Linked DNA regions of Nothobranchius furzeri. The protein of the gene in region 2 interacts with the protein of the main gene of each other region in a biochemical or structural test. Links are inferred from orthologs where the notes say so. Each region holds a gene or a part of one and is shown on either strand. Other genes may lie near its edges.

Evidence for each region.
Region 1: the proteins of ATP-dependent RNA helicase DDX39A (region 2) and sarnp form a complex in vitro, tested with the Homo sapiens proteins (2 studies listed by BioGRID). The link is inferred for Nothobranchius furzeri from reciprocal best matches to the Homo sapiens genes DDX39A and SARNP.

The regions. Positions count from the first base shown.
Region 1 is NC_091755.1:36,666,311-36,674,652, forward strand, and holds the start of sarnp (SAP domain-containing ribonucleoprotein), read left to right. Parts: upstream 1-4,107; 5' UTR 4,108-4,182; coding exon 4,183-4,215; intron 4,216-4,953; coding exon 4,954-5,059; intron 5,060-7,556; coding exon 7,557-7,600; intron 7,601-7,710; coding exon 7,711-7,781; intron 7,782-8,342. UniProt on the Homo sapiens protein: Binds both single-stranded and double-stranded DNA with higher affinity for the single-stranded form. Specifically binds to scaffold/matrix attachment region DNA. Also binds single-stranded RNA. Enhances RNA unwinding activity of DDX39A.
Region 2 is NC_091747.1:68,852,210-68,860,061, reverse strand, and holds part of ATP-dependent RNA helicase DDX39A, read right to left. Parts: intron 6,327-7,852; coding exon 6,195-6,326; intron 5,980-6,194; coding exon 5,870-5,979; intron 5,800-5,869; coding exon 5,655-5,799; intron 5,484-5,654; coding exon 5,336-5,483; intron 3,515-5,335; exon of another isoform or gene 1,322-3,514; intron 1-1,321. UniProt on the Homo sapiens protein: Helicase that plays an essential role in mRNA export and is involved in multiple steps in RNA metabolism including alternative splicing. Regulates nuclear mRNA export to the cytoplasm through association with ECD.

The DNA of each region.
Region 1 (8,342 bases), on a different chromosome or scaffold from region 2:
CAGGTTCACATCACACAACAGGAGAAGACAAACTGGCAAAGGAAACTGTTGCAAAGACACTTAAATGGAGAAGCCAGGACCCAGGTGCAAGACATGAGGCAGATTAGTGAGGAGCTTCATGTTGTGAACCTGCCTGTAATGAGACAGGAAGTGAATGCACAAAATAAAACAGGAAGTACCAGAAATACAATAAAACCAGAAACAAGACTGCAAAGCACTCAATCTGCAGAATCACCCATGACATCTACTTTGTTACTCTGAGTTGTGCGAATACTTTTGTGAAGCTGCATCAACTCAAAGTCCAGTCAGCTGTGCTTCAGTGTACACCACTCTAATATTTGTTATACACATAAAGTCTGAAACGTTCAGGCACATGGACGGAGACTCGTTCGATTTTTGTCGTTAGAACAATAAGTCGCACACGCCCAGAGGGGGAAAGGGAAAGAATGCAAAGTTAACGAGGATTATTAAACAACTTGTGACATTCATCCGGCTTTGTCCCACAACTTTAAAGTCACACTATCAAGAGGGTTTTGTCTCCATATCATTGGTCCCACTGCTGCCCTGTTTAAACCTCTTTTTGAACAAAGTCAGCATTCACAGTAAATCCTGATTAGATGTCTTTCATCTGTCAGCATGCAGACCGTGAACCCTGTAAGTCCCTGGAATAAAATCCTGGGACCCTTAGCTTCATGTTTCATTCCTTAATCTTCTGAGTGATTTCTGTAACGCTCAGTGAGACTTCTCACCTGTCCACAGGTCTTCTGAGCAGCTCCTCGTGAGCCAGCTGCTCCAGCTGTCTCTGGATAATTTTGTCTAATATTGAAATTTGACAGTGATGACACTTTCATCTGCCTCCTGCATCGGGCCTTCTCACACCTGGGGAGCACCACATTCTTTTGCCTCTCCAGTAACTTTAAAACAGTCCAGTCCTGGGTATTGAGGGGAAACATGAAGGGACCATGAGGGAACCATCATTTGTCCGTGTAGATCATTGACTACCTAACCAGGAGACCCCAGTGTGTGAGGTTACTGGACTTTGTGTATGAGGTGGTAGCCTGCAACACGCAAGCTCTAGAAGGATCTAAACATTGGCGGTTTTAAACAGGGGCCCACAGGGGCCTGGGCCCCTATAGAACCGGCCCTGGACCCTGTTATGGCCCCTGTGCTGAAGAGATCGGATTTTTTCCCCCCGCGCTGCCTCGGAGACGGGAACTAATGCGCTGCAGTGTTTCACACGGAGCCTTTAGAGCGCAGCACACTCTGTGGACAGAACTGTTTACCTGGTGGATTTTTGAATAAAAGATTAAAAATAGTTTAAATGGGACCCGAAGAAATTCTTGAGGACGACTAACGGAAAAGACGCTAAGAGACGAAGGCAAGCAATACAGTTTATTTTCCTGACATCAATGAATTTCCTTTGGCAAAATTGTGCACAAGCTCAAAATTAGTAATATGGCGATGACAAAAAAGAATTTTGATATTGCCCTAATTTTTCCCTTTTTTTCTTGCGCCCCCATGAAAAAATACTGGCCCCACTGTGGCCCCCCTGGAAAATTTGGCCTGGAACCGCCCCTGGATCTAAACTCACCTTGTCCCTCTTTACCCTACACTGCAGACTTTGGTTAAAACACAGACACTCACAATCTCCAGAAGTTCATGGACAACACTGCCACTGTTGGTCATGTGTCAGAGAGGAGAAAACTGGAATACAGGGGGTCATCAACGGCTTTGTCAGATGGCTAGAGAAGACCCGCCACTGAGTTGGTAAGAGGTTACCCCCATGTTACACAAGCGAGCGTCCAGGGCGTGGACACTGAACGGTGAAGTGTAAATATCTGGGTGGCTGTTCACCTCAACAACAAACCAAACTGGTCCACATGTACGGATGCGCTCTAAGACAAGGGTCTAAGTCCTCACCTACAAAGACAGCTGAGATTTTTGGGGTTAACAGGACTCTTGCAAAAAACTTCTGGTAGCACATGCTGTGATCGGACAGTGATCTCCAGCTTTCGCTGGAGCGGTTCGCAGCCGAGTGTGAAGCGGCTGCAATGAGAATCAGCTCCTCTAAATCCGAGACCATGGTCTTAAACCGGAAAAGGGTAGAATGCCTTCTCCGGGTCAGGGGTGAGGTCCTGCCTCAAGTGGAGGAGTTTAAGTATCTCTGGGTCTTGTTCAAAAGTGAGGGAAAACTGGAGCGTGATAGGCGGTTTGGTGCTGCATCTGCAGCGATGCGGGCGTTGTACCGCTCTGTCGTGGTGTAGAGAGAGCTGAGTTGGAAGGCAAAGCTCTCGATTTACCCGTCGATCTACGTTCCTACCCTCACCTACGGTCACGAGGTTTGGGTAATGACCGAAAGATACAAACAAAGCAAAATTAGTTTTCTCCGCAGAGTGGCTGATAGGGTGAGAAGCTCGGTCATCCGGGATGGGCTCGGAGTAGACCTGCTGCTCCTCCACATTGAAAGGAACCAGTTGAGGTGGCTCAGGCATCTGGTGAGAAAGGCTCCTGGACGCCTCCCTGGTGAGGTTTTCCAGGCATGTCTAATTGGGAGGAGACCCAGGACACACTGGAGGGACTATGTCTCTCGGCTGTCCAGGGAATGTCTTAGGATTCACCCGGAAGAGCTGGCTCAAGTTGCTGGGGGGAGGGACGTCTGGGCTTAGGCTGCTGCCCCCGTTAGAAGAACAAGTACATGCAGATAGGCAGTAAGCTAGTATTGTAACCTTCAACCACTAAAATCCAAGAATAAAAAATGGAAAACTTGGGCTCCAGAATTACGCAGCATTCTATAAATGTAAATCTGGTGTTCCACAAGTATTGAACACTTGCTGAGTGTTGCATTGATGTTAATGTGAATTGTGAGGAGGTGCAAAGGTAAACTTAGCAGACTGGTCAGGAGGGCCAGTTCTGTCCTGGGCTTCCCGCTGAGGTCCATCAAGCAGGTTGGGGAGGAGAGGATGTTGTCCAAGCTGACATCCATCATGGACAACCCAACTGGCTGCATAATACAAGAGCACTGAGCAGCACATTCAGCAGTAGACTTTTATATCCCCTATGTAAAGAAGCATGACTGCAGGTCACACGTGTCAGGTTCTTCAGTACAGTTAAACATTATGAAGCGATTTAGCATATTTTTGACTGGCACACTGGCATCTGCTTGTGTGGCTTATGTGTAAATGGACATCTGTGTAAATAGAAAGGTGATTTGTTCTATATTCCTCGCTGTCATGAGAGCTCTGTAACACCAATGATTCTCATTCCTGTGATAAAAAAGCTTTAATCGTGTCAACTTGTTCTCTGACATAAATCATTTAAATGAGTCAAAGTGTTGTTGACCAAAGGGAAAGTGTACTCAAATACGTTTAAATAACAGTAAATGAAATGGCCTTAAACGTCACTTGTTTTAAAATCCCAGTAAATGTCCATCTTTCTCTCTTTGTCTCTTGTGAGCCATCAGAGGAACAAGAAAACGGTGTTGCCTAGCAACAAGAACATCTCTGTCTCCCGCTGTCAGCAGTGGTCCAGTAAGACAAAGGGAAAGATAATTTATTAATTTCATGCATGAATCATGATAACCAGTCAGTCTGGGCTTTACCTAAATCAACCTTCATCTAAGAAACACTTTGAACTTTAATTTTTTATAATGTTTTGTTCATTTTGTGTATTTCATCCAAAGAACTTACTTGGGTATTTTCTCCGAGGAAGATGGTAAATGGCCTGTAATTGATATAGCACATTCTAGAGTCCTGGAACCCCCCAAGGAGCTTTACAACACAATCAGTCACCCAATCACAGACACATTCACACTAACAACACTACAGTGTTTGTCAAAATGTCATCAACAAGGTAAAAACAACTGTTGCTGTGTTAAAAAAAAGAACCAAGTAATGTACATGAATCAACAACACTGAGCTGTATTTTTATTTTTTAGGAAAACAATGTTTACATTCTTATCTACAGAAATAACGTTCTATAGTCCATTGTCATGGCATAAGTCCAGCTACAACTTTAAATTCACTGTTCATCCCCTGTGTAAACGTATAAAGCTCGAAGAATTTTACCTGCAAAAGGTCAGTGTCCAGCAGGGGGCAGTGTGAGAAGACAGCGCGCAAGTGGTGGAGCTCAGAATGAGAGGAGCTAGTCTTTTGATTGGAGGAAGACTTACGTCAACAAAGAAAGATGGCGGAAGTGGTGGAACTGCATAAACTGAAGGTTGGTAGCGACCTAAAATTACGATTTTAGTTTGATTTCACACCTTTATAAGTGACGGATGGGTGTTGATTTCTGTTTATTACAGAATGACGTAGTGGGTTCAGGGTAAATGGGATTAGAGGTTAAATCGTCTCGTCTGTGTGTGAAGGCTGAAAGCCGGCGTCGTGTGTCCGAGGAGCTACCGCTGCTAGCGCGCCGAAACATGTAGCTTTGCAACATGGGACGGTCCAACATATGATTTTATCAAGATATGACTAGATTAACGAAAAATAAAATAAATGATGGCATGATTAAATCAACCAGTGTTCAGTAGGGTCAGGTAACTATCAAATATTTCTCACGCTGTTAGATTTTACAGATCATCTGGTGGAGCAAATTATCTAATAAAAACAAAAATCTTGATTTGGAAAAATAAAATCCAGTACTTTTATAGAATAAAATAGTCACTGAAATGATACATTTTAAAGCATTTCTGTTCTCATCATCCAGTAAAACCGCAAACCCTTCTGGCATATAAACAGGGTTAGCAGATCCAGAAGCTGCTCTGTTTTAAACCAGGTTCATCATTTGTTTTGTACAGCGTCCATTTCTACGCACACAAAACAAGCCTGTTTACAAACGGCTGCAACTCAAATGTTGACATTTGCCAATGATCCTAAAGAGGCTGCTGACTAGACTACTTTACTTACATTTTAAATGATTTAACATGTTTTCCTTCCCCTTCTTCTCATGACGCAGCTTGCTGAACTGAGGCAGGAGTGTGATGCTCGAGGTCTGGAGACCAAAGGGAACAAAGGAGAGCTCATCGCCCGACTCCAAGCATACCTAGATGAGCACGGTGAAGGTACTTTCAGTTCACTTCTCTTTATTCACACACACACACACACACACACACACACACACACACACACACACACACACACACACACACACACACACATCTTCCATTCATTTCTGTGACTGTATAACCATTACCAATGCTGATCTATTCCTAACCCTAACTAAAACTTAATTCACACCATACCTCTAAAACCAACTGGTAAGCTTCTAAAAAAAATTAGGACCAGAAAAATGTCCTCACTTTGTAGGGAAAATGGTACAAATGGTCCTCAGTAGGTGGTGTGTACAAGAGCACACACTCACACACACACTCACTCACACTCACTTACTCACACACACTCACTCACTCAGTCATTCACTCTCGCACACACACACACACATTTGCATTGCTACTCATGTGGAGATCTGACATTGACTACCATTCATTTTAGTGACTGCATTATTATGCTTGTCCCTAAAAGATGACATTAACAGTCTCTTGTTTTATTGACATTGTTGTGTGTATTTTAAGCAGGGTGGTTTTGTAAAGTCTGTAATAATTAGAAGCACATCTGCTTTAATTAGAAACACGTCTGTAATAATTAGAAACACGTCTGTAATAATTAGAAACACATCTGTAATAATTAGAAACACGTCTGTAATAATTAGAAACACGTCTGTAATAATTAGAAACACATCTGTAATAATTAGAAACACATCTGTAATAATTAGAAACACATCTGTAATAATTAGAAACACATCTGTAATAATTAGAAACACATCTGTTATAATTAGAAACACGTCTGTAATAATTAGAAACTCGTCTGTAATAATTAGAAACTCGTCTGTAATAATTAGAAACACATCTGTAATAATTAGAAACACATCTGTAATAATTAGAAACACGTCTGTAATAATTAGAAACACATCTGTAATAATTAGAAATACGTCTGTTATAATTAGAAACACGTCTGTAATAATTAGAAACACGTCTGTAATAATTAGAAACACGTCTGTAATAATTAGAAACACGTCTGTAATAATTAGAAACACGTCTGTAATAATTAGAAACACGTCTGTAATAATTAGAAACACGTCTGTAATAATTAGAAACACGTCTGTAATAATTAGAAACACATCTGTAATAATTAGAAACACGTCTGTAATAATTAGAAATACGTCTGTTATAATTAGAAACACGTCTGTTATAATTAGAAACACGTCTGTAATAATTAGAAACACATCTGTAATAATTAGAAATACGTCTGTTATAATTAGAAACACATCTGTAATAATTAGAAACACGTCTGTAATAATTAGAAATACGTCTGTTATAATTAGAAACACGTCTGTTATAATTAGAAATACGTCTGTTATAATTAGAAACACGTCTGTTATAATTAGAAACACGTCTGTAATAATTAGAAACACATCTGTAATAATTAGAAACACATCTGTAATAATTAGAAACACGTCTGTAATAATTAGAAATACGTCTGTTATAATTAGAAACACGTCTGTTATAATTAGAAACACGTCTGTAATAATTAGAAACACATCTGTAATAATTAGAAATACGTCTGTTATAATTAGAAACACATCTGTAATAATTAGAAACACGTCTGTAATAATTAGAAATACGTCTGTTATAATTAGAAACACGTCTGTTATAATTAGAAATACGTCTGTTATAATTAGAAACACGTCTGTTATAATTAGAAACACGTCTGTAATAATTAGAAACACGTCTGTAATAATTAGAAACACATCTGTAATAATTAGAAACACGTCTGTAATAATTAGAAATACGTCTGTTATAATTAGAAACACGTCTGTTATAATTAGAAACACGTCTGTAATAATTAGAAACACATCTGTAATAATTAGAAATACGTCTGTTATAATTAGAAACACGTCTGTAATAATTAGAAACACATCTGTAATAATTAAAAACACATCTGTAATAATTAGAAACACGTCTGTAATAATTAGAAACACATCAGTTGTCTGTATTATGTTCTTTACTATTGGAGTGAACACTGTGTTTGAGTCTTTTGGCTATTCCTGTGTTTGAAAGACTCCTGAACTTCTGGCTCCTTTGGTCTTTTTTTTACAGATTTGTGTCCCATTTACTTTCTGTCTTCGTCATTTACACAGAGCATAGTCTCAGCGTGGTGTCCCACAATAAAAACTATCCCTGTGAAACAAGTAACTACTCAGCCTTAGACTTCCCCTTGGTTTAAAAGCGCTGAGTCTAATACTTTAGTAATTTAATGAATTGTTTCAGCCCAATAAACCAGCAGCATGTCGTCCTCAGACTGAACTAGATCAGTCACAAACTGGACTTTTCCCACAGATGGATCATTTTAAAAACCCTAAAATCATCCAACTGAGTCATTTCTAAGTTCCATTCAGGCTAAACTCCAGTTGTGTTCAGTTACACAAATGTAGGTTGTTTTCTTATCTTGCTGGTTTCTTTGGGTTCGCGTCCAAATGTCCTTGTCTTGTGTTTTTATTTGCAGAGGAAGATGTGGACTTAGACGATGTGCTGGCAGAGGACACGGCGGTAAAATGATTGATTATATTCTGACTATATTCTGTAGTCTGTTCTCTTGTTGTCAAAGATGTAGATTTATATTTGCAAAGGAAGACTTAAAGTTTCTATTTTCCTTTTAGGACTTCACTAAAGTTGAGAGTTCCAACACGGTGAAAGTGGACGAAGACACTGAAACGACTGCGAGTGAGATGTAAGTCCTTTAAATTTCATTTATCAATTTAACAAAGACGACCGGCGGGTTTTAGAGGTCCTCATCTGTGCCCCAGACAAGCTGGTTCCCAAAGTCAGAGACTCTCTTGGTCAGCTTGCTTCTCACACCAAACCCTTTGTCAGGAATCTTGATGTGACCTTTGACCCACCCTCTCACCCTGGATTCTCATGTCAGTTTTTTGTACACCCTTCAATTAGGGCTGAACAATTAATTGCATGTGCAATTAAATCACGATGTGACAAAATTAGATTTTCTAATCGCAAAGGCGATTTGACTGGCAGTGAGTGTTTAGCACAATGCTAATAAACATGGAAAAACCCATAGGGATGCTAATGCTAATATTGCTGATTACATTCTTACAAATTACAAATTAGGAACATGCCAAATGATTACATTTGAAGTCTAATAAAAAGTAAAAACTGCCATCAATCAAATAAGTACAGACAGATATTTTAGGAAAGCTAGAAAACTGTAAGAGACTTTAACTCCACTGAGCTTTGGCTAGCAGCTATGGACTTAGCTGAACTATGGAAGCTCTGC
Region 2 (7,852 bases):
TGTTTCAACCCCCCACCCCCCCCACCCCCCCACCCCACCGTGTTCACAGCTCCCAGTTCACCAACAATAGACAATTACAATCAAATGCAACACCCTTACAACTTTTCCTCCTCCTCCATGTAATTAATTAGTATAATTTTTTATACTTCTCTTTAAACTGTTGCAATGAGGGACTTTGCTTTAGATCCTCACCTAGCTTATTCCAAACTCTTACACCCGTAACAGAAATACAAAATGACTTTATTGTTGTTCTAAAATATGTATGCCTTAAGTTAAGTTTGTATCTGAAATTATATACGTTATCTGGTTTTATAAATAGCATTAATAATTTGTTTGGTAATAATTTCCTATGCACTTTAAACATGAATGTCGCTGCATATAGCTGAATTAAATCTTTAAATTTTAGTATTTAGAATATATAAATAACGGATGAGTGTGTTCTCTAAATCTAACATTGTGAACGACTCTCAGGGCTCTTTTCTGTATGATAGACAAGGGTACAATAGATGTGTTATAAGTGTTACCCCATACCTCTACACAGTAAATAAGATAGGGATAAATCAATGAATAATAAAGGACATGGAGTGATTTATAATCCAAGTACTGCCGAGCTTTATTCATAATGTAGATGCTTCTCGCAACCTTATTATATACATGTTTAATTTGTGGTTTCCAACTTAATTTATTATCAATTACTATTCCAAGGAACTTATGTTCTGTTACTTGCTCAATTTCACATCCATCCATTTGCAGCTTAACCTCAGTTTTATTAGCCATACCAAACAACATACATTTTGTTTTTGCTATATTTAATGTAAGCTTATTTTCAATAAACCACTCTTTAATGACGCACATTTCAATTTGGACCATCCTTTCTAACTCGCTAATATTATCTCCTGCACAGAAAATAGTGGTATCATCGGCAAACAAAACAAATGTCAGTGTATTTGTTACATTACTCAAATCATTAATATATAATAAAAATAATTTTGGACCCAACACAGACCCCTGTGGTACTCCACAAACAATGTGCAACCATGTAGATGAACATTCTCCAAACTTCACAAACTGTCTCCTCTGCTGTAGATAGCTTGTCAACCAGCTCAACACTACACCCCTAACCCCATACCTCTCTACCTTTTCAAGTAACATTTTATGATTAACCTTCTTATTATGTTACGGGTCAATTTGACCCGTTCCAGTTTTTGTGTTGACCATAGCGCTGATCATCTTCTATTTTTCTTAATGAAACTTTATGACTTTTTCTTATCTGGGGTCATGAACTGGTATGAGAAATATGGACACTTTGATGTGTCCTGGGAAGTCTTAGCAGTTTTTGTATACAAAAATTATGTTGCGGGTCATTTTGACCCACACACTTTAATGTGAGTAAAAAGCTGTTCAGAACAAAAATAAACATGACTCTTTGATGTGCTATGTTGTGATTGCTTCTGAATATACATTCACACCCAGAGGCCCAGGTGTGTGCGCGAGAAACTTTTTCTGCCCTGTTCTTGTAACTGATCTCATGTGATTTCAACACACCAAAAATGAGCTCTAGAAGGTTGACAGCTGAAGAAGCTTTATCTCAGCTTTTTAACTGGCATAGCAATGACGAAGAAGATGTTTCAGAGACAGAGGATTTTTCAGAGGCTGAGGACAATGTTACTGATGATCCAGACTACCAATTTTCTGATGAGGATTCTAAAGAGGAGTCTTCTGTCATCGCTTCATCAAGTGAAAACCAAGGAATGCAGCAATCATCATCTACAGAGGGGGCATGGACATCTAAAGATGGTAAAATAAAATGGTCAACATCACCACACCGAAGTCGAGGCAGACTGTCATCTGCTAATGTCATCAAAATGACACCTGGTCCTACAAGATTTGCAGTCACACGAGTTGATAATATCCATTCAGCATTTCATCTCTTCATACCCTCTCCAATAGAAAAGATTATACTGGACATGACTAACTTGGAGGGGAGGCGTGTATTTCAACAGAAATGGAAGCCCATGGATCTGACTGACTTGCATGCTTATATTGGAGTCCTGGTATTAGCTGGAGTATACAGGTCAAAGGGAGAAGCAAATGCAAGTCTATGGAATGAAGAGAATGGAAGGCCGATCTTTCGTGCAACAATGTCTCTTGAGACATTTCACAAGATATCTCGTGTGATCCGATTTGACAACCGTGAAACCAGAGCCAGTCGCTGTGAAAGAGACAAACTTGCTGCAATCAGAGATGTATGGGATAAATGGGTGGAGATTCTACCTTTGTTGTACAACCCTGGTCCCCATGTGACTGTAGATGAGCGCCTTGTTCCATTCAGGGGCCGCTGTCCTTTCCGACAGTATATGCCCAACAAGCCGGCCAAGTATGGCATCAAAATATGGGCAGCTTGTGATGCTAAATCTAGCTATGCATGGAATATGCAGGTGTACACCGGAAAGCTACCTGGAGAGGCATCTGAGAAGAATCAGGGGATGCGTGTGGTGCTGCAGATGAGTGAAGGGCTGCAAGGGCATAACATCACCTGTGACAACTTCTTTACATCCTACTGGCTTGGAGATGAACTTCAGAAAAGAAAGCTCACTATGTTGGGAACAATCAGGAAAAATAAACCAGAACTTCCCAGTGAAATTCTGAAGATGCAGGGAAGACCTCCAAATTCCTCAAAATTTGTTTTCACCGAGAAAGCAACAGTTGTTTCATACTGCCCAAAGAAAAACAAAAATGTTCTTGTCATGAGCACAATGCACACAGATGCATCTCTGAGCACAAGAGAAGACAAAAAACCACAAATGATCCTGGACTACAACTCCACCAAAGGAGGAGTAGACAATCTTGACAAAGTCACAGCAACATACAGCTGCCAGCGCAAAACAGCTCGTTGGCCCTTGGTGATTTTCTACAACATTGTGGATGTGTCAGCTTACAGTGCCTTTGTCCTGTGGACTGAAATCAACCAACATTGGAATGTCGGCAAACTGTACCGACGTCGGCTTTTCCTGGAAGAACTGGGAAAAAGTCTTGTCACCCCCGAGATCCAGAGGCGAGCCAGACCAGCTCGATCCCCAGCAGCAGCAGCTCTCATTGAAAACGTCAGGTCTGCATCATCTGACCAATGTACAATGAATCCAGTGGATACAGGTGCAAAGAAACGAAAAAGATGCCAGGTCTGTCCCTCACGATAAGACATTAAAACAAGCACCGTTTGTGAGAAGTGCAAGAAGTGCATTTGCAGAAAGCACACAGTTACACTCTGTCCATCATGTGGACAACACTGAAAATGTTGAACATTGAAAATCTGAGAAAAATAAAAGTGTTTGTAAAGAAGGAAAACTTTTACTAACTAGTTCTTACAAATAGTTCTGGATATTCAAACTTTATTGTGTGTCTGTGTTTTAAATGTTTTTTCTAATGGAAAATAAAGTTCCTGTTTTATTGCAGTTTTTTTACAGTTCTAAGTGAATTTAGACAGGGTGGGTCAAAATGACCCGCAACATAACCAATGTGATTTTTTTTCAACATAATACAAGGGTTAACTGTATCAAAAGCCTTTTTTAAATCAATAAATATCCCCAGAACATGTTTCTTCTGATCAATTGACGTTGTAATTTCTTCCACAGAATGCACCAGAGCTAGTGATGTTGAACTATTCGGTCTAAATCCATACTGACAGTCTGATATTATCTTGTATTTATCCAAAAATATTTCGAGTCGATTATTAAACAGTTTTTCAAGAATCCTGGAAAATTGTGGAAGCAATGAAATTGGCCTATAGTTCGTAAATTGATGCTTATCCCCGGTTTTATATATTGGTATAACTTTAGCAACTTTCATTAGTTTTGGGAATACACCTGATTGAAAAGACAAATTGCAAATATATGCAAGTGGTTTTGAAATTCCTTCTATAACCTTTTTTACCGTCATCATGTCAATGCCATGACTGTCAGTTGATGTTTTACCTTTACATGTTTTTACAATTTGTATTATTTCTTGTTCCTCTACAGCTGAAAGAAACATGGAATGAGGATTAGGTTTGATTTGTTTTAAGAATGGTGTATGTGATGTAGATGAGCTAGATATGTTTTCTGCCAATGACGGTCCTATATTTACAAAGAATTTATTAAAGCTATCAGCCACATCACCATAATCATGTTTTACAACACTGTTTTCAACAAAATATTTCGGAAATTTATCATGACCTAAATTTGGTCGAACTACATTATTTAATATTTTCCACACTTCTCTAATATCATGTTTAGCATTATTCAAACTTTTATAATAATACTCCTTTTTACATTTTCTTACTATATTGGTAAGCTTATTCTTATATATTTTATATTTATGTTCAGCTTCTGGAGTTTTTTTTATTTATAAACAACCTGTAAAAATTATTTTTCTTTTTGCAGGCACACTTTATCCCCTTCGTCATCCACGGTTGATTATCCCTTGTGTTTGAGCTACTACATTTTGTTAAGGGACAATTCTTAACATACAATGAAATAAATATTCTTACAAAGGTCTCATAAGCCTTGTCAACATCAGTTTGCTGGTACACTTCCTCCCATGTCTGTCTTATCAATTCGTTCTTGAAGGCATTCGTTGTATGCTCCCTAGGTTTTCTTCAGCTCGCCTCTTTTTCGGTTGAATATTTAAAGTTACTTTTTTCGTAACGTACGTGGTGCATTTGACAAGACACAGCTGAAAACGGCTCGTGCATGCATCGGTCACTGCCTCCGCTCTGGTCGGATTTTAAAATTTTCAACTCCCTCTCTCTCACACACACACACACACCATAATCAACATTGTTTTTTTTAACTGTGTGGGGAAAATGCCCACAACGTTAGGAAAAAATCTGTTTAATCATTTTAAAATAAAATGGTTCTAGTATTTCATATTTCCTAGTTCCTACTGCATGAGTTCAGATGCATTAATTCATTAATTTGAGATGGCACACTGGAGCGCTGCAGTGCTCCTAGAGTTTCTCTCCTTTAGAGCTGAAGCTCACACCACCAGAGACGGCACAAGGACTGACGGAGAGACATCTTCAGGAGCAGCTTGTTAAAAACATGACGATTGCGGCTTCAATCATAATGGAAATAAAGTTATTTCCAAGTTAAATGGAAGTCTGTGGCATCGCAGAGACTGATCCCATACCGCCTTTATGCCACCATCGCCTAATATTTTATAAAAGGGACATAGTTGCGCCACGGTCTGACCACTTAAACGACCTACGGCTCCCTGATGTCGTCACGCAACAGAAAACTATCACACTACCACTCCCTTTGACAAAAGTAGGACCACCCCTGTGAGCACGAGCACTTACTGTAGGAGGAGATGTCGATCTCCTCTGGAAGCTCAGCCACATTCACCTCGAAGCGGTCCTGGACCTCGTTCAAGGTTTTGGCGTCAGCCTCGTCTGACACAAAGGTGATGGCCAGGCCTTTAGTTCCAAACCTGCCAGCACGGGCGACCTAGGGGTCAACAGAAGAACGTCGGGACTCAAAAGAAATTTCAACACGTTTTTAAGATTCTTTAAATAATTATAAATATTTAAACAATCCAACCATCATTAGGCTTCTTTGGTTTTGTAAAAACAAACAAACCAATCTGTGTCACCGCCACCGTATTAAAGCTAAACTGACTCTGTGAAGGTAGGTGTCAGAATCTTCAGGCATGTCGTAGTTGAAGACGATGTTGACTCGCTCGATGTCCATGCCTCGACCAAACAGGTTAGTCGCCACCAGGATCCTCCTCTGAAAGTCTTTAAACTGCTGATACCGAGATAACCTGGAGGAGGGCGGACGCATTAGGGAACAGGTTTACAGATTCAAACACTCTTCTTCAGAAGCAGCCCCACCTCTCCTCCTGCGCCATGCCCCTGTGGATCGCTATAGCGGGAAAGTTCTGCTCCACCAGCAGCTGGGACAGCGCCACGCAACGATTCACGGACTTCACAAAGATCACCACCTGTCAGGAACCAGAGGAGACCCTTAAGTCCACAAGGCTTCGGTGTTTTATCAGCCAACACGACAATAGAAGGGGAAAAGGTTCCGGGTTTGTTTATTTATTTATAGGGCCTTTAAAGCAAGAGACTAAACGTTTGTTTAAATGAAAACACAGGGAAGACTTCACGGACACAAAGCCATTTTATGCAAATAAAAGAAAGAAAAGTCACAGGACACCTGGTTGAACTCGAGCACGTCAAGGAGGTCGAACAGCTTTCTGTTCTTCTCGCTGTCCTTCAGCTTGCAGTAATACTGCTGTAGGCCATGCAGTGTCAGCTTGGTCTCGTCGTCCACAAACACCTCCATCGGCTGAAGGAAAACAGACGAGGCCGATGCACACGTTACTAACACAGTTCTGTTTGCATTCACATGCAGCATAACAACACGAGTTAGAACCTTCCCGTGGTTCTCCTGAGTAAACTAGTCCAACCTGGGCCTGTTCTCCCGCAGCGCAGCACAGCCGTGAGGACCGCTGCCCAGGCCGAGCAAGATCAGCTGAGGACGTTCGCTCTGCCCCTCTGAAATGGACACTCGTGACACGGTCAGCCGCGAGTGGGCAAAGCTGGAGGGGTTTGACTTCAGGTAACTTCTAACCAAAACACGGGAAAGGCTGATTCATCAGTAGATTTTTAACACTGATCTACTGTTAGAACACGGGCTTTATGGCAGACAGCTGAACTAGGCTTTTTATTAGGGATGCACCGATGGATCGGCGTTTGATCCCAGTCTGCCGATAGCGCCCCAATCGGTTTTGATCGGAGTTTTCAAAATAGATCAAAGCAGACCGATCAGGTAGGGTTGTCACGGTAACCGGTGTAGCGGTAAACCCCGGTAAAACAGTTGACAATAATAATAACCGTCTTGTTTTAAAAAAAAAAAACTATATTATCTCGGTGGATTACCGTAGGTGCGGTGACCCTTACCAGCCACCGTATCATCTGCTGAAGTTGTCGGCGGCACATGCGCACTTTGTTGTTTACAACCAAAACTTTCTTTAAGCTAAAGCTGAAATAATGGCCAAAGGAGGAGACGGCAGCGCTCAGGAGGACATTTATTATCCCTCAAAGACAAAGTGGGAAGTACGGCATCTTTTGGATATGTGAAGAATGCCGAGGGACAGCTGATAGAAGACGGCTATCCTGTTTGCAGCACGTGCAGAAAAAGTGTCTGTGAAAGGCAGCAACGCTTCAAATCTCATGACACATCTGCGTGACCATCACCCACAACTCTACAGTCAACGCAAGGCAAGCTAACGTTAGCGTTTTAGCTAAAGTGCGTGATCCGAGGATTTGGGTTGAGGGAGAATGCAACGAGTTGCTATATAAAGCAGCCGCAGCGCCGCTACCTGCATATAAACCGTGTCGCGGACACCGCCATGTTGAAATGACGCTATGCATTACGGGGCTCCCAGGGGCAGATAAGAGTTGGTCTCTCTCCGAGAATAATTATGAATTTAACAACGATTACTGCCTGATGACATTTTCCCACATCTGCAAAGCTCACTGGAAGGACACAAACCGAGGACAATATTTTCCTGATATAGGGTTTATTACTCAAGTAAGGGTAAAAAAGTATCTGATTAGAAGGCTACTTGAGTACTGAGTATCATCTGGTCTAATATTTTTAAATGATGACATCAAACAGACATAAAATAAGACGTTATGGGCAAATATTGGTATTTTAAAGACTAAAGGGGGAAAATGTAAACAAATAAACAACATAATTACTAAATAACACATTTTAGGCAAAATTTAGACACAAACTGAGGACAATATTTCCTGACATACAGGGTTTATTTAATTGTGTGAAAATGTAGCACGTTTAAAAAAAAAACC